Linked DNA regions of Schizosaccharomyces pombe. Changing the gene in region 4 together with the main gene of any one other region gives a genetic interaction. Each region holds a gene or a part of one and is shown on either strand. Other genes may lie near its edges.

Region 1 (4,193 bases), on a different chromosome or scaffold from region 4:
CATTGTGTTTCCGTATGGACATGTTCGCCTACAACAGGATGGTCATTATCTTGACTCGATGATGCATTTGAAGTGTTTTTTCCAAGTAAATATCCAGCAGTCAAAGAAGCAGCTGCAACGCCAGATACAATAGGCAAAAAACGGCCTTTCCATACATCAGTTTTGGTTGCAGTACCAAATTTTCGACAAATGCCTGCTTGAAATCCATTTCTCTGCAGTAGAGACCTTCTCATATTATTGTAACCGTTAATCCTTATACATTTTGGAAATCTGAAAAGTAAGTTTTTAGCAAACATGGTTTTTTTGATTTATGGGAAGTTGAGCTCTGAACTTCTAATGTCTGCGTAATGGTCAGAAAGCGGCGACGATCTTACAAGAACGTAACTTTGTCATTCATTCTAAGTTTATATAAGTTTGCATGTTTTTTAAATCAGATTTAAGTAAATAGGTATTCACAAATGTAAGACAAGCAAGACTGGCAGGATTTACGAGATTACTAAGAAATGCCTGAATGACTAATTTCATAATAGAATTAAACTAGCGACATAATAGTTTCACAAGCAAACTTAGGTATGCAAAACAAAAGGTAATTCATTTATAATATTTAATTAGAAGAACGTGAGTATTATTTTCTATAATATGTTAAATTTTTACTATAATAATGTACCAGTAAACGACACTGAATTTTTTCTTTAAAAGAAATATACTGACATCCCAATCTATTCTTCCTTGCCAATTATGTCAACCCAACGTTTGCCCTTAAGCTCGGCAAGAATCTCTTGCTTAATCTTGTGAGCAATTACAGGACCATCATATCCCAAAGCAGTATAAACTTGAACCATAGTTGCACCAGCACGAGCATACTCAATAGCATCTTTGCCAGAAGAAATACCACCACAGCCGATGATGGGAATATCGGAAGAAAGATGCTTACGAAGTGTGCGAAGAGTATTTAATGCGATAGGTTTGAGAGGAGGTCCAGAAAGACCACCCGTCTCTTCAACATGGCTAGTTGATTTGAGGGTCTTAGGGCGTTGAACGGTAGTATTACCAACGATCACACCGTCAATCTTGCACTTTTTGAGGACATCGGCAATGTCCGTGAGTTCTTCTTCGTTCAAATCAGGTGCAATTTTTACAAGTACGGGAGGATGAGGAGAGTTCAATTTATTGCGCTCACTGACAACAGCAGTCAATAAAGTTGAGAGGGCAGATTTCTTTTGTAGGTTACGAAGACCAGGGGTATTAGGAGAGGAAACGTTAATGACAAGAATGTCAGCGAAGTTACCAAAGGTACGAACACCTTCAACATAATCCTCAATCTCGTTACCGTTCTTATTCTTGCCTAAATTGATACCAAGGAACTTGTTAGGAATTAAACTACGAGGTACGCCAAGGACAGCGGGATCAGTGCAAGAAGCGGGATTTGCATCAAACTGTTTTAATAGTTGAGGAGATGTCTTAGCAATGTATTTGCGAACGCGCTTTTGAATCTTAGCAAGGATGGCATCATGGCCGATAGAATTAAAACCGTAACGATTGATTACAGACAAATCAGGCTTAAGGCGGAAATAGCGTGGTTTAGGATTACCAGGTTGAGGTTTAGGTGTGACCGAGCCAATTTCAAGATAGGAAAACCCGAAGTTCAACAAACCTGAGATAGCATCGGCTTGTTTATCGAAACCAGCAGCTAGACCAATGGGATTGCAAAATTTCTTACCCCAAACTTCAACGGCAAGAGATGGATCATCAGCTACACGATCCTTCGGTGTTATACCCCAAGAGGCAGCGAGAATGGCGACACGATGAGAAAACTCAGGAGTGGTGAAAGCATGAAAGAGAGGCATTTCAATGCGGCCATGGATAAAACTACGAACATCGGACATGTCGTAAATGGCAACGCCGGCAGTAAAACTACCAATAACACTCAAAAGCTTCCAATGACGGAGAAAGAAATTGCCATTTGAAGAGCCAGAGCTGGTAGATTGAAAACGTACAGAGGAGCGCTTTAAACCCTGAGCGACACCGCGAAACAAAGATCGTTGATACATTTTAGTATTTTTAATAGAATTCGGCTTAAATAAAAAATTTTCAAAACGAAATTGAAAAAAATATGAATGATAAAATAATAAAATGAAGTTTTATAATAGTTTATGCTTAATATATTTAAACACCAGTTTTTTTCCAAACACAACAAACCCAAGAAAAAATAAACAGAACCAAAAAATAAAAATATGGATTTAAGGATCAGAACAGAATCGTCAATCCGTTTCTTTATCCACCTAGAGACAAGAAGTGTTAATTTATATAAAATGGAGAACTTGGTTCTAATAAGATTTCAACGAAAACAAAGATTTCAGAACCGAAAAAATTTCTCCAAGTGCTAGCAGAGGTATATTCTCTGAGAAAGAACAAAAATCAAAAATTGAATGTTTATATTGAATGTTACCTGTAACAGGTAACATGTTTTTTTAGTAATGCCGGGCTGTCGAAATTTGACTATGAGTTTTGTAAATAAAGCGATGGTTATAAACAATTTTATGATAGTTTTTGCTTTCGAATTAACATTTCATAAAAAATTTGAAAAAGAAAAATTTTAAAAATTTAAGGACAAAATCCACTTGAAAAACAAGTGCGAACAGCTTTTTGCAAAAAAACTACAAACCACTACACATTAGCGAATAAGCCTATTAGGAATTTATTTTAATTTTTGTTGATTTAAATTTCTTTTTTTTTTAAATGGTTAGAATCTAGTTGATAAACTTCTAGCAATGTATTTCCAAATTGTTTCTATTACGTTCGTTGATACAGGCAATTGTTCATTTCTGGTATGACTAAAGCATTTCTATACAATTCAACTTCTCATTTTTTCTAGCTGTATTTATGATGTACAGAGCGTTGGGAGAGAGTTGATTAAGTCAATAGTATTTATGAATGAGACAAGGAACACTCATACTATATCAATGATAAATAGCTTTTATATTATCCTGTTATAATCATAAAAATTAATTTCATCTATATAGACTTAGAAAAAAATGGTTTCGTTTTCACTGTCCTTAAACTACAAATATCGTACACGTGTTACTTGTTCTTCAGGTGTACCCTCACTATTGTCAAATCTTATGAAATTCTTTACTCGTTGACTTGATTGTTATGCGAACAGTATTTTCGCAAATTCCTCGTTTTAAACAAGTCAATCAGTACATACGGATGTCGACAAGGCAGTCAGACATTAGGTTTGTTAGATAGAAGACAGACGTTGACTAACCCATATAGCAACTTCTTCATTTCTTCTGCTTCGCACAAAAGCGAGCACGTGGAGGTTTCTCAATCGTCTTCTGATTCCAAAAATGTTGATGGGAGAAGCACAAGCGAAAAGAGAAAGGTCGAATCAGTGAAATTAGTCGACGAGTCGAAACACAACAACCACGACGACACTGGAACTCAAAATGTTGAGCGTGAAAATAATATTGTGTCTGAGGCAAAAAAGCAAAAGACTTTAGGTTCATCCTCCTCTTCTTCAGATGCCGTATCTAGTAACAACGATTCTGGGGCATCTACTCCAATACCTTTGCCAATCAAAGAACCACCGTTAGAGTCCAATGCTCGCAATGATAAGTTAAAAGGTCATGCAACATTTGCTGAAATGGTAAAAGCATTCACAAAAATAGAGAATACTAGCAAACGGTTGGAAATCATTGATATAATGGGGACTTACTTTTTTGGAATTCTTCGCGACCATCCCAGCGATTTACTGGCCTGTGTGTATTTAAGTATCAATAAGGTATGAACGTTTGGTTTTAAAGGATTTCTCCTTCTCAGTACTAACGTCTTTTTTTACATTAGTTGGGCCCAGATTACTCGGGACTAGAGCTAGGAATTGGCGAAAGCATTATAATGAAGGCTATTGGAGAGTCTACAGGGCAAACGCTTCAACAGATTAAACTATCGTTTCACAAAGTTGGTGATCTTGGTCTTGTAGCTCAAACATCCCGTCAAAATCAACCCACTATGTTTAAACCTGCAGCGCTGACAATTCCATTTTTATTTGACTCATTAAAAAAAATTGCTCAAATGAGCGGAAACCAATCCCAAAATAGAAAAATTGGAGTGATCAAGCGGCTATTGAGTTCCTGTGAAGGTGCAGAACCTAAATATTTGATTCGAGCTTTGGAAGGCAAGCTACGCCTCCA
Region 2 (3,665 bases), 910 kb from region 4:
TATGCTATCTAAGTATCGAAAATACTTAAATGAAGGTGGAAAACAAGGAGATGTTGGGATAACAAAACCGCATACGAAAACAAAAAAGCTAAAGTCCAATTCAATATTTAATTATGTGCGCAATGGTGAAGTGCTATATCATTTAGTAAGTACTACTGGAGGAGATACGTTTTTACGCCCCAAATTCTGGCCTCAAAGTCAGAGAATAAGTGGAATGTTAAAAAAAAGGATAACTATGAAAGAGAATAAACATCGTCTCATCCAAAGCATGAGCTGTATGCTACGCCATGCTAAACTTGAAGATGAATTTATGAAGGCATACATTTCAGAGGAGGATGTTGGGTATGCTGATGAGATTCATAAATGCATACAAATGGTTTTAAGTGATCTCGATTCTATTTACAAACGAGAATCAAAAAATTGGCATATCGTTTCGCAATTTTACAACATGCTTGAGTTAGAAGCAGCTAGACAAAAACTCGAAAATAGATATCTAAACTTTTGGAAGGTATCTCGACGCTCTTCACCTTGATGTATTTAATTCTTTAATTAGCTTCTGAGAGAAGTTTACGACGAATATCATAATTATTATTATTTTGTATATATCAAACATAAAAAAATTTTAGAAACATACACTCGCCTTGGAGACGTAATAAAGTTGTAAAGCAAGCAATTCGTGCATTGCAGTTCTTAATCGCGGCAGTACATATACAGTAGTATTCACATTGTGCTTGCGAAACTCTTTTCCCAAAATAACAAGCTTAAAAATTTACATGGTATACTTTGCGGAAATACAACAATCATTAGCCCAACCGTCAAACTACGAATAGCGTTTTCTATTTGCTTATATGATCTGATGTTAGAGGAGAACCTTGCTGTTTTTGAGAACTGAGCCATTGGTCTTCTATGTCCTGAAGCATTTGTAAATCTTGGTCATCAAACGAAAATTCTTGGCCCTCAATGTCATCTTCCAACGTAGCAAGTGATGAAGTATCATCCTTCTTTTCCGCTAAACCATTGTTTTCCAGGGATTCCTGAGTAGATATTTCGACATCATTATCATCCTCATTATCTGTCTTCTCTTCTTGTTCTTCCCTTACCCTTCTTTCTAGTGATTTTTTGCGATCTATAGTTTGTCGTATCACGCTCACCAAACTAGAAACCCGTGACAGCTTATTTGCAGTCTCTGTTTCATCTTCATAGGAGCTTTCCAATGTCCTTGACCTCTTAAGTCCTCCTATATTATTTAATCTCTCTTTAAAATTACTTGACGAAGGAACAGGCAATGAAGATGTCCGTTGAATAGTGGATTGTGCTTTTGGTTGTAAGCGATCCCATAGCTTATGAAAAGGATCATGCTTCCGAGTAGCGCTACTAGTACTGGATTTACAAAAAAGCCTTGAGACATCATCAGGAGACATGGCTTTCGCTTTTAAAGGAGAAACTTTCCATGAGACGCATGGTTGTTTATTTTTGGAAGAATCTTGCATCCTCAAACGTGCAATGAGTTAAATGGTAAAAATATTTTTCAGTTCACTTTTAAAGAATTAAACGAGTGATCCAGTTACTCTAAGATGATTACAACGTTTAGTATCAGAATCTCAGGTAAGGTCTCCAGACAAAACGAATACTGCCTGTTCGACAAAGATCGCTCCACACAGTATCTGCTAGCTTACAATTATTCTCCTTCTCCTGTTAATTTAGCAGTTGAAACACAACATGTAAACAATAGCAAATTACGCGGTCGTTTAGGTTAAAGACATCTGAAGGTCCCAAAAGTTCGAACTTTTTAGTAACTACTGGTTACCTTTATCCAAGAACAAAACTTTCTTTAATTACAAATGGAATATGAATACGGGTCCGTGGAATGGGGAATTTTAGAAATGTTCAATGATTGTAACGTAAACCAATGTTAAGTAACACCTGCAATTATGTGACTTTTCCATCAAAAAACTATTAAATTTAAATGAAAGCGTTAGAAAAGAATATAAGTTTAAGTACAAATTTTATGAGCTTATGGTGATATTGGATGACCTACACCTTAATATACTAACAACATGTCTACTCGATAAATTTTTTTATTTTTACTTACCAATGTAAGCAAATGTTTTTGATGTAAAGCGAAACTACGCATAAGAACTGTACTTTTTCATTTGGTTGTTAAAAAATGCAATATTACTTTTCATTGACTATTCCACTAGGCAGATAATTTTTTTCATTTCTGCTCCAAGACAATAGATATGCCAGTTTAAAAGATATGTATGATAAAAAAAGGTTTACAAAGACAAATAATAACAAGTGAGAGATTAAAGCATCAGAACAAGAATAAGCTGTAGGCATAAATTAACTCATTCTCATTATATGGTTATTAGATTCAACCCAAAAAATGACCTTCCTTGACGAAAAAAACGCAAATTGTTAAAATTTTAAAAATTAACGCGGTTATTTGGGCATTCTAGAAGAATAAAACAAAGAGCATTGCGGTAACACCCAAGCCAAAAACTAAAGTCTTGAAAGAAAGGATAAGTCTAGATGATGAAGAGATCGTAAATATACTACCAGTACCAGTAAATGATCTGGCAGAATAAGAAGGAGAGTAATAAGAGGTATAGACAGTGGTTGTGGCAGTTGCCGATGTAGATGGCATGACTGTACGATTGACAGTTGGTAATGTAAAACCAGACATCTTCGAATGTGGATACATAATCAAGGGATATCCGTTGGTCATACTGGCAGTCAAGGTTTTATCGGCACCAACGGTTAAAGTTCTGTGACCGAAGACATCAGAGACTACTTCATTGGCAGTGTAATTCGTCTCAACTTCATAAATTGTAAGGTTGTTGGTAACTCCCATATTATTGAACATGACGAGAACATCATTTTTTTGTCCAACATAGTGATCAACAGCAGATTCGATCGATTGATATGTGGAAGTGACCCAATCCGGATCCTGAGTAATGACAAACTTTCTAAATGCAACCATCGTTTTAATAACGGTATAGTACGGGTTTGATTGATCGTAATCAGTAAGCCAAAGTGCAGGACGATTAGCAGGATCCTCACCACCATTGAATCCCTGTTCTTGTCCGTAGAAAATTGAGGGTATGCCGTCCCAAATCAACACAAATGACAAAGCCCCCATAATCTGTGACTGGTCACTTGTGTAATAAGGAAATCTGTACAAATCGTGATTTTCGATAAAAGTCAACATTAAAGTACTATCATATTTTGAACAGTTTGAAGCCATTACCTCCTGGTAAGTGGGAATAAGAGTGAATCCAGCACCAGTAGCAGTAAAAGAGAAGTTTATGTACAACTGCAAAAAGTAATTGGTAACTCCAGGAAGGACACTCATGTAACTACACATAGTATCAGGATCATAAGAGAAAACTTCACCAACGCTGTAAACACCCGTAGCATCAACGAAATCAGGAAAGAATGTGTAGTTCATCATTTTCACAGCATCAATACGCAGTCCATCAAAATCGTATTTAGAAATAAGACTTTTGAAATGATCACTCAAATAGGAAGAAACGTCTGAACTTTCGACATCCAAATCGGCCAACAATACACCAGAATCTTGCCAACAATCCATTACGTTCGTCTCATTATCTGTGATATCCCAATCAATAAGACAGTACGGATGGAAGTAGCTCTCCTTGTTA
Region 3 (3,730 bases), on a different chromosome or scaffold from region 4:
TGCGTTGGAGGAGGTGGATATACTGTACGGAATGTTGCCCGTGTCTGGACTTATGAAACTGGTCTTTTAGCCGGCGAAGAGCTTGATGAAAGTAAGTACCAATACGTAAATTGTTTATTAACCCATCCAAGACCTTCCTTATAATGACTATTTACAATATTACGGTCCCGATTACAAGCTCAATGTTCTTTCAAACAATATGGAAAACCATAACACTCGGCAGTATCTTGATTCGATAACGTATGCTACCTTTTGAGTTTTATTCTTACGAGGCTGACCAAATTTAGCTCTGAAATCATCGAAAATTTGAGAAACTTATCTTTTGCACCTAGCGTTCAAATGCATAGTAAGTATAAGCGGTTATCGAAAAATGTGCTAACAAATACTCTTACATTAGAAACTCCCGGTGACTTTACGTTTGAAAATGCCGAAAAGCAGAACATTGCGAAAGAAGAGATTATGGATGAGCGCGTATAGACCTATATAAAATTTTGTATGTTCATGGTGTTTGAATCCATTATACTCGGTTTTTTTGTGTTATTTGAATCATGAATACTATAAAAGCTATTATGTTTAAATACCCTTATTTATAAGAATTCTCCAGCATAATTAGACTTCAGCATTAAATTGAAAATGCTCATTACATATAATAACAAACACTTTATATTCTATACTCTAGATGTGACTTGTGGTTTTAAAAAAAAAGGAATAGCCAAAAAATTAACGCACAAAGAAAGAAGAAACGGAAATCACAAGGTAGTAGTAATTATATGTCTATCCGAAGTAAAAGGTCAAAACAATTAAGGAAGTACAATATACTTCTTGTATTGTGGCTCAATTACATCAAATAATTTTTTACTTTCAAGGAATGAGCGACTGAATAAACGAGTGGCATACTTGTGACCAGAATCACAAAGAATTGTAACCACCGTCTTGCCAGGACCTAATATTTTAGCCATTTCAACAGCAGCGACCACATTTAAGCAAGAAGAGCCGCCCAAGAAAAGACCTTCTTGGTCTAACAAACGAAAGAACATGTTAATAGATTTTTCGTCAGGGATTTTCATAGCATCGTCAATGAGATCGTAAACAGGTTGGACATTTCCAGTAATACGACCTTGACCAATGCCTTCGGTAAATGAAGAACCCTTGTTGTCAGGATGCTTACCCTTCGTTTTGATATGGCTATACAAAACACTTCCAGGGGGATCAGCCACGAAAGAAGCAACACGACCGTCGGACTTCTCCTTCAAATACTTGGTAACGCCGGCAAAAGTACCACCAGTACCAGTAGAGCAGGTAAAGCCGTCAACGGTACCTTTGGTTTGATCCCAAATTTCAGGACCAGTGGTTTCGTAGTGAGACAGTAAGTTAGCGACGTTATCGAACTGATCAGTCCAAGAAGCATTCGGAGTAGACTCAGCGTGACGACGGGCCTGATGGTTATAATTGAGAGGGTTGGAAAAGGGAGCAACAGGTACGGGATGAACCTCGGCACCCAAAAACTTAAGGGTATCGATTTTAGCTTGAGATTGGGTATTTGGCATGTAAATCACGCATTTATAACCTCTTGCTCTAGCAATGTGAGCAAGACCAATACCAGTGTTACCGGCAGTCCCCTCGACAATTGTGCCACCTCTAGAGAGTTTTCCTTTTTTCTCGGCATCGCGTACCACGTAGTAAGCAGCTCTATCCTTGACGCTTCCTCCGGGATTTTGGAATTCTTAAAAAATTTGCAATTAGTATACATGAAAGCAATTAAAAAGAAATAAAGGTATAGGATTGCCATTCAATTGAGAAACCTCGACGTTTCAAAATTGTTTAGCAAAACGAGACCCATTAAACAACGCCCTATATCAAAAACATACCAGCTTTGGCAAGGATATTGCATCCCGTCTCGTTCGACAGCGTATTCAGTCTAATTAAAGGAGTACGACCAATTGCCCCAATGAATCCGCTAACGATTCCTGGAACCTTCGTTTGAATACCGCTAGTAGCCATGTTGTAGTACTAACTGCGAATTACTGTATATCACAGTAATTTCCTCTAAACACTTGGGCGAAGGCAAAGAGCACTGTAGTAGGATAGGTGATATTTATGAAGAAGATGACGCGATCGTCACGCGGAATTCAAACACCGGCAAATAGTGGAATTCGCAATTCTTTACTTTAATGAAGAATTTAAAACTACAGAAAGTCGTACGATAAGGCGTCCATTGTTAAAATTCTTTATCAATGTCTTTAATGGGATGTACGGATGTGATATTGTTAAATGTGTTTAAGTAATTGTAACGAGGAATGCAAAGATGGGGATGGAGGTGAAAAGGACATAGAATGAATAGCGTATTATAAGGGTTATTATTTGAGAAAGGTTTTTACGTTTATAATATTTATTAATTGGTTAATTTTTATTTATTTTATTTTTACGTTTATTAATTTTTACTCTTTTAATTTTTTTTATTATTTTTTTTTTTTTTACTTTTTTTTATTTTTTTACTTTTTTTTATTTTTTTATTTTTTTTTTTTTTTCTATTGCGTTGTCAAATTTTTTTCCTCAAGCATTTTATTCCTACTAATATTAAAAATTGTACGGCTATGTTCGACTATATCGACACAATGGCTACTCGTTTGAACGCTTGCTGTTTGATTGATTTCTAGTCTATTAACAAGAAAATCACATTTCAGTAACTCCTTGATTGTCGTTGCGTATAAAGAAAGCAAAGTAAGAGAACATTGGAGGTTTCCAATAAATTTTTTACGGAATAACTATTGAAAGCGTTTATTTGTATATTATAAAACTATTATTTTTTAAAAATTGTTTGTTATATGACAAGTGTTGTTGTCATGATCTTTTGATTTCATAATGAAAACTTATAATAGCGAAATTCACAGATGAAAAAAAATTATCCGCTATATCTCGTAATTTATTGCCTTTTGTCAGCAATACTACACTACGCTATGATACACTACGTTGCGTATCACTATATGTCATATGTTCTAATTATATATCGTACCATGTATGATACGATATGGAGATTAATCTTGATGATAATCTATTAAGATCTATATTATCTGAATACTATAAATAGAGCTACCACTGAACTGAGGAACGAGGTTCAGTTATGAGCTATATTAGTGATAGGTAACATTATAACCCAGTTAATACAATACCTATACTCAGTTGCTACTTATACAACCTGTGTATTGTAATATAAATAGACCACAAGGAAAACTCACCGCAGTTCTACGTATCCTTAAATCAGATACCAAACTGCGTAGCTTACACCTTTGCGTTTTTGTGTATTTGTAATTCTAACTTTACGAACTCGAATGAAATCTAGTGCAATATAAGAGTTGCAAAAAATAAATAATAAATTTACACAAGAAGGAATAAATGAATTAGAGAAAGAGATGAAAATGTTTAGCTAGTTTAACTGCTCCAATCCTTTTTTATTTCAGTTACTTCAACACACTATTATTTATTACTTCTTTTTAGCAATATTCACCCGCTTAACATCATCAGCAACACTTTCCGTACCATCCCTTTCCCCGGCAAAACCGAGCTTTTTGGATACAAAAACCGAACTGGGCTGGCAAAAGCAAGCCATGGCATACGTAAGTATTAATGTTTATTTTACCTCCAGTTACAATATATAAATACAGGTAGTCATGTTACAATTAAAACCGATTCGCATCCCAGCTCGCATGCTGAAAACACAAACTTGAATATG
Region 4 (4,808 bases):
GGACGAGTTGTTGCTTAACTTGTATTGCGAAACTTACTATAATACAGTATTCGTTGACCTTAATACCTCAACTGCCTTTGCTACGCTAAGGATTCATCACATACCGATGACACTTCAGTAGTTCTTTAAATTTATTTAAGACGTACAAGCCAGTGCATAATCTAGGTTTACAAAACTCTTTGTTATAGCTCCTTAGACACGGGAACTAAGCAAAGGAGGTATACAGTCTGGATACACGGGAACTCTTAAACAAAGTGTAAAATAATGTATCTCTTAATAACTCTGTCGAAATGGTTATATATCACATTGTGAGCTTGTTACAATACCTTATAGCTTTGCATTTAGTTCAGTGCAGTTTCTTATGTTTGTGTTTTGGGTTTGTAAAGTATGATAAAACGAGAGAGATATTTTGACAAACTGATGAAATTCAAGATCTACTGTATCAGCTTATAACTGGAATAGAAAGAAAGAATATAAAGGCTACAATGTAGCCATGTGCGGTCAACGTTTAGACTGCCGATCTTATGACCTAACTAAAGCGATCGCTATTCAGATCCATTTCTGCTTGTAGGGATGAGACTTTGTAGAATAGCAAATCTGTAAATTAACAAATCTTCAAATTTTGTTGCATCAAGCAATAACTTCTACTCTATCTGTTTCTATCAATGGTTTTTCATATCTCGAATTGAAATATTTCCAATGTGAATCAACTAAAAACATCGCACCCCATTACCTTATTGAATATTCGAATTTGGGGATTTCCTAGAAGAGTTGGACATTAAATGACGTTAATAGAAGTAAAAAAAAAATAGAAAGTCGTTTCATCATGGACTTGTCGATGATTTGCATTACCAGACAATTTTACATCCGTGAGTTCGCAGCAATCGGGTTGGTATCCGTTTATAAATTTAGCCGTTGATATTCATCCCGTCATTTAAAGCTGAGCCTAGGTTGATCTAAATATTCCATTATAGAATCGCTGAAATATTTATTGAATAGGGCATAAATGGTACCCATGAATGCTAATGATAACTAGGCAATCCAACTCCAACTGGCATCTAAAGACTTAGTAATATGACCACCATTTCATAATCTCACGGTGCTACATATAGAAAATCGTTAACATCATAGATGGCATCTTCGGAGTTCCTTCTAGTCCACGCCGAATTGCGGATCAAGGTAAGCAGATCATGAGAAACGTGGGTCATGCGAAAAGTGAGTCTACAAGTGAGTTCATCCTCAAAAGCCTATATATATTATATATATAGCACTTGGGAATAAATGAATAAAGGTTGCAACTTTAGTGATTGAATCGGTAAATCCCGTTAAAACAAACAATCAGTGATTCATCCTTCTTTAGTGTGATCTGTGTAGGTAAGCAAGCAATTTACAAATGCCTAGAAAGTTGGCAAGGCCGGTTTGTGTTTGGCAAGGAAATGAGCAAAAACGTCTGTCTATTCCTAAAACGGACGGTGGGTAAGCAAAATCCCAACTTGAAAATTTGAATTGGGATTTTTTTATTTCAATGGAAAAAGATAGGTTAAATCATAAAAAAGAACATGATATTATTTTCTTGGAAATATGTCGAAATCCTGTCTCATCCCAACCTTTTCGACAAAACTAGGTGTCCTGATGGAAATATAGTTTAAGCTCATCGCTTGCCGAACCGCTCCATCAAATGCTTAATTTGCTTTTATTGACATTGTAGCTCGACGGACTCTCTAGATATCTAAATATTTTTCGTTGAACTTACTAGATTGGGAATTGACAATTGAAAGCTCTTTAATTGATTACTTTCATTGTCTTGATTTTTTTCATTCTCAGAAAATTTCAAAAAATTCAGACTTTAGAAACTCGCTGTTTGTTAATCACTCTCTTGCTTTTTTTGGATTCAGAGAAAATTGAAAAATTCGAACTTTTTTTAAAAACGAATCATTGACCGTATTCTATCCTTTTATCCTTTATTAAACCAACCTTGCTTTTTTAATTTTTATTTTATTTTTTTTTAAACATGAAATTATCTTCCTTTGGATTATTTCTCGCTCTCCAGCTTTTGCCGGCCTTGGGCCTTCCTTCTCGTATCGATGAAGTAGACGTTTCAGACCCAGAACTAATCGGATTATTGAAACCCGATAACGTTGATAAGCCAGCAAACTCTATACCCCTTTCCAAGCGTAGCACAAGCCCATCGTATGCGCCTTATACTGTTGCTTGCCCTAGTGGCTCTCTGCTTCGACCTGCCTCCGATGGCCTTAGTACTGGTGAACAAGAATTTGTTGACAAACGTGTCTCAAAGGTTAACAGTGCATTGGAAAGCTTTATTTCAAAAACCGGCTTAAAAATCGATACAAAAAGTGTGCTGAATGACACAGATGGCCCTCGTTTGGGAATTGCAATCTCTGGCGGTGGATTTCCTGCCATGTTAACGGGAGCCGGCGCTATTAATGCATTTGATGCTAGAAATGGTAACACTACGTCTCTTGGTGGTATTCTTCAATCTTCCATGTACCTTACTGGTCTTTCTGGTGGCTCTTGGCTTGTGGGATCTGTTGCGGTTAACAACTTTGCCAATATTACTTTCTTGCACGACGACGTTTGGAACCTGGACCACAGTCTCTTCGCTCCCTATGACGACGCTTTTGAGAACTTTTATATTTACCAAGAGTGGTTTGAGCAAGTTCTGCAAAAGAAGAATGCTGGATTCAATGTCTCCATTACTGACCTTTGGGGCCGTGCTTTGGCTCTTAAGCTTGTCAATCCTTTGACTGGAGGTGCTAATACTACATTCTCTAGTGTAACAAATGAAACGTGGTTCCAGGATGGTGAATTTCCCTTTCCCATCATCATTGCTGATAATGTCATAGAGGGTGAAACCGTAATCCCTTTGAACGACACTGTCTTTGAATTTACACCCATCGAATTTGGTACTTGGGACACTGGGGTGGAATCATTTATACCCATGGAGTATACAGGTACACACCTTATTAATGGCATTCCTCTTAATGAATCCTGTGTGCGTAATTTCGACAACGCTGGTTTCCTCATGGGTACCTCTTCAAATGTTTTTAGCGGTATCCTTCCTGCGACAAATGCATCACTCACCGCTAGTAATAATACCTTTAACAATGCTGTCCTTAGTTTCCTCGAAATGCTTGCCGAAGATCAATTGGATGTAGGTCTTTATCCCAACCCTTACCAAGGTTATGGAAATGCTTCCAATACAACCACTACCAATCCCTTGGAGCCGTATCCCATTATTGAATTAATAGACGGTGGCTCAGATAGTGAAGGTATTCCCTTTTGGCCCTTGCTTCATCCACAAAGAGACGTAGATGTTATTTTTGCGATTGACGGGGGTTATCAAAGCGCAACGAGTGGATGGCCAGATGGATCGTCCCTAGTTTCTACATATGAAAGAGTTTTAGCCACTAACTCCTCTGGCGTTCGTGGTTTCCCATATATTCCTGATACCAACACATTTTTGGCTCTTGGTTTGAACACTCATCCAACTTTCTTCGGTTGCGACGGTAGAAACACCACAGCCGGAAACCATACCGTTAATGACGATACTCCTCCTCTTGTAGTTTACTTCCCCAACTATCCTTGGACTATGTATGCAAATGTCACTACCTACACTGTTCAACTGGAAGATACTTTGTCCAGTGGAATGATTGAAAATGCCGCTGTTGCTGCTACCCAAAATAACAGTGATTCATTTGCTGTCTGCGTTGCATGCGCTCTCGTTCAACGTTCCTTGGAACGCAAAAACATGTCGACTCCAAGTCAATGTGCTTCTTGCTTTAATCAATACTGTTGGAATGGAACAATTGCAAGCACGACCGTTACTACATATGCACCTACAGTTCTGTCAGCCAAGATTTAGTATGCAACGCTCACGACAATCCATTTTGTTCGATCTTTTCCATGGTAGCATAGAGCGTAAAGCATTGAAACACTAATGTTCATATATTCACTAATCTAAGAACCAGCAAAAGTCGGCTCTTTACTTATTGCTCATAAACAACGAGAAGGAAGATATAGTGAATAAATATAGGAATGAAAAAAGCTTCAAGAAGCCATTAACACCATCGAATTTGAATTCCTAAGCTCTAAATGACACTAATTTATGTAACCTTTGCAGAAATGTTTCAACTCAAATACTGTGTCAGCAGTAGTCCAGCACGCTACGATATACTACGTTGCGTAGCACTATATGTCATGCTAAAATATACATAACATTAGTTTATTGATGATTGTAGCTGTTTGTCCATCTATCTACACAAGTTACACATTGGTAGCAACTAGAGAAAAATATAAATAGAGCTACCACTGAACCTCATTCCTCAGTTCAGTTATTGGCTATATCGGTGACCGATACTACTAGACTTTTTATAACAATAAATATAATATTATTAGTTAACAAAGCGCATACCGCTATGTTGTAAATCCCTAGAAATCTCGCCGCAGTGCTATATATCGTTAAACCAGATACCAAACTGCGTAGCTGACATTATAATTATACTACAACGTTTGCTTCTCAAAAACGTTTTAAGGAAAGCTAAGTTAGGGTAAATAAAAAGGGCAGTGACAAAATAAATGTGTCAGAAGCAATTGCATTTTGAAAATGAGTTTTCGAATTTTAACTTTTACCTACTATTATTAAAGAGAGAAGTCTTCTTTGAAAGAAATTGCTCGTTTTTTATGTTGAACGGCTGAAATTGGGCTCCAGAGTGAAAATTCTTGATTTCGCTGTTTCGTTTGTCGCAATTATAGCAATTAATTCGCGCATGTATTTTATTAAATAAAGA

The links.
Region 1: mutations in plb5 (region 4) and ura3 together harm fitness more than expected from each alone (negative genetic interaction), as found in Schizosaccharomyces pombe (one large-scale study listed by BioGRID).
Region 2: mutations in plb5 (region 4) and dbl1 together harm fitness more than expected from each alone (negative genetic interaction), as found in Schizosaccharomyces pombe (one large-scale study listed by BioGRID).
Region 3: mutations in plb5 (region 4) and cys11 together harm fitness more than expected from each alone (negative genetic interaction), as found in Schizosaccharomyces pombe (one large-scale study listed by BioGRID).

The regions. Positions count from the first base shown.
Region 1 is NC_003424.3:1,384,791-1,388,983, forward strand, and holds ura3 (mitochondrial dihydroorotate dehydrogenase Ura3), read right to left. Parts: upstream 2,356-4,193; 5' UTR 2,052-2,355; coding exon 720-2,051; 3' UTR 567-719; downstream 1-566. Other genes in the region: disulfide relay system thiol oxidase subunit Mia40, read right to left, coding at 2-296; ATP-dependent DNA replication ligase Cdc17, read left to right, coding at 3,154-3,236, 3,277-3,784, 3,847-4,193. UniProt on the Schizosaccharomyces pombe protein: In the de novo pyrimidine biosynthesis pathway, catalyzes the stereospecific oxidation of (S)-dihydroorotate to orotate with reduction of flavin and the transfer of electrons to ubiquinone, which is part of the respiratory chain.
Region 2 is NC_003421.2:831,511-835,175, forward strand, and holds dbl1 (protein Dbl1), read right to left. Parts: upstream 1,870-3,665; 5' UTR 1,491-1,869; coding exon 837-1,490; 3' UTR 556-836; downstream 1-555. Other genes in the region: mitochondrial LYR family protein Lyr2, read left to right, coding at 1-532; aah3 (GPI-anchored glycosyl hydrolase family 13 protein), read right to left, coding at 2,456-3,665.
Region 3 is NC_003423.3:846,256-849,985, reverse strand, and holds cys11 (cysteine synthase), read right to left. Parts: upstream 2,067-3,730; 5' UTR 2,002-2,066; coding exon 1,869-2,001; intron 1,724-1,868; coding exon 801-1,723; 3' UTR 501-800; downstream 1-500. Other genes in the region: class 1 histone deacetylase Clr6, read left to right, coding at 1-91, 132-240, 288-346, 398-477.
Region 4 is NC_003421.2:1,740,663-1,745,470, reverse strand, and holds plb5 (phospholipase Plb5), read left to right. Parts: upstream 1-2,011; coding exon 2,012-3,883; 3' UTR 3,884-4,269; downstream 4,270-4,808.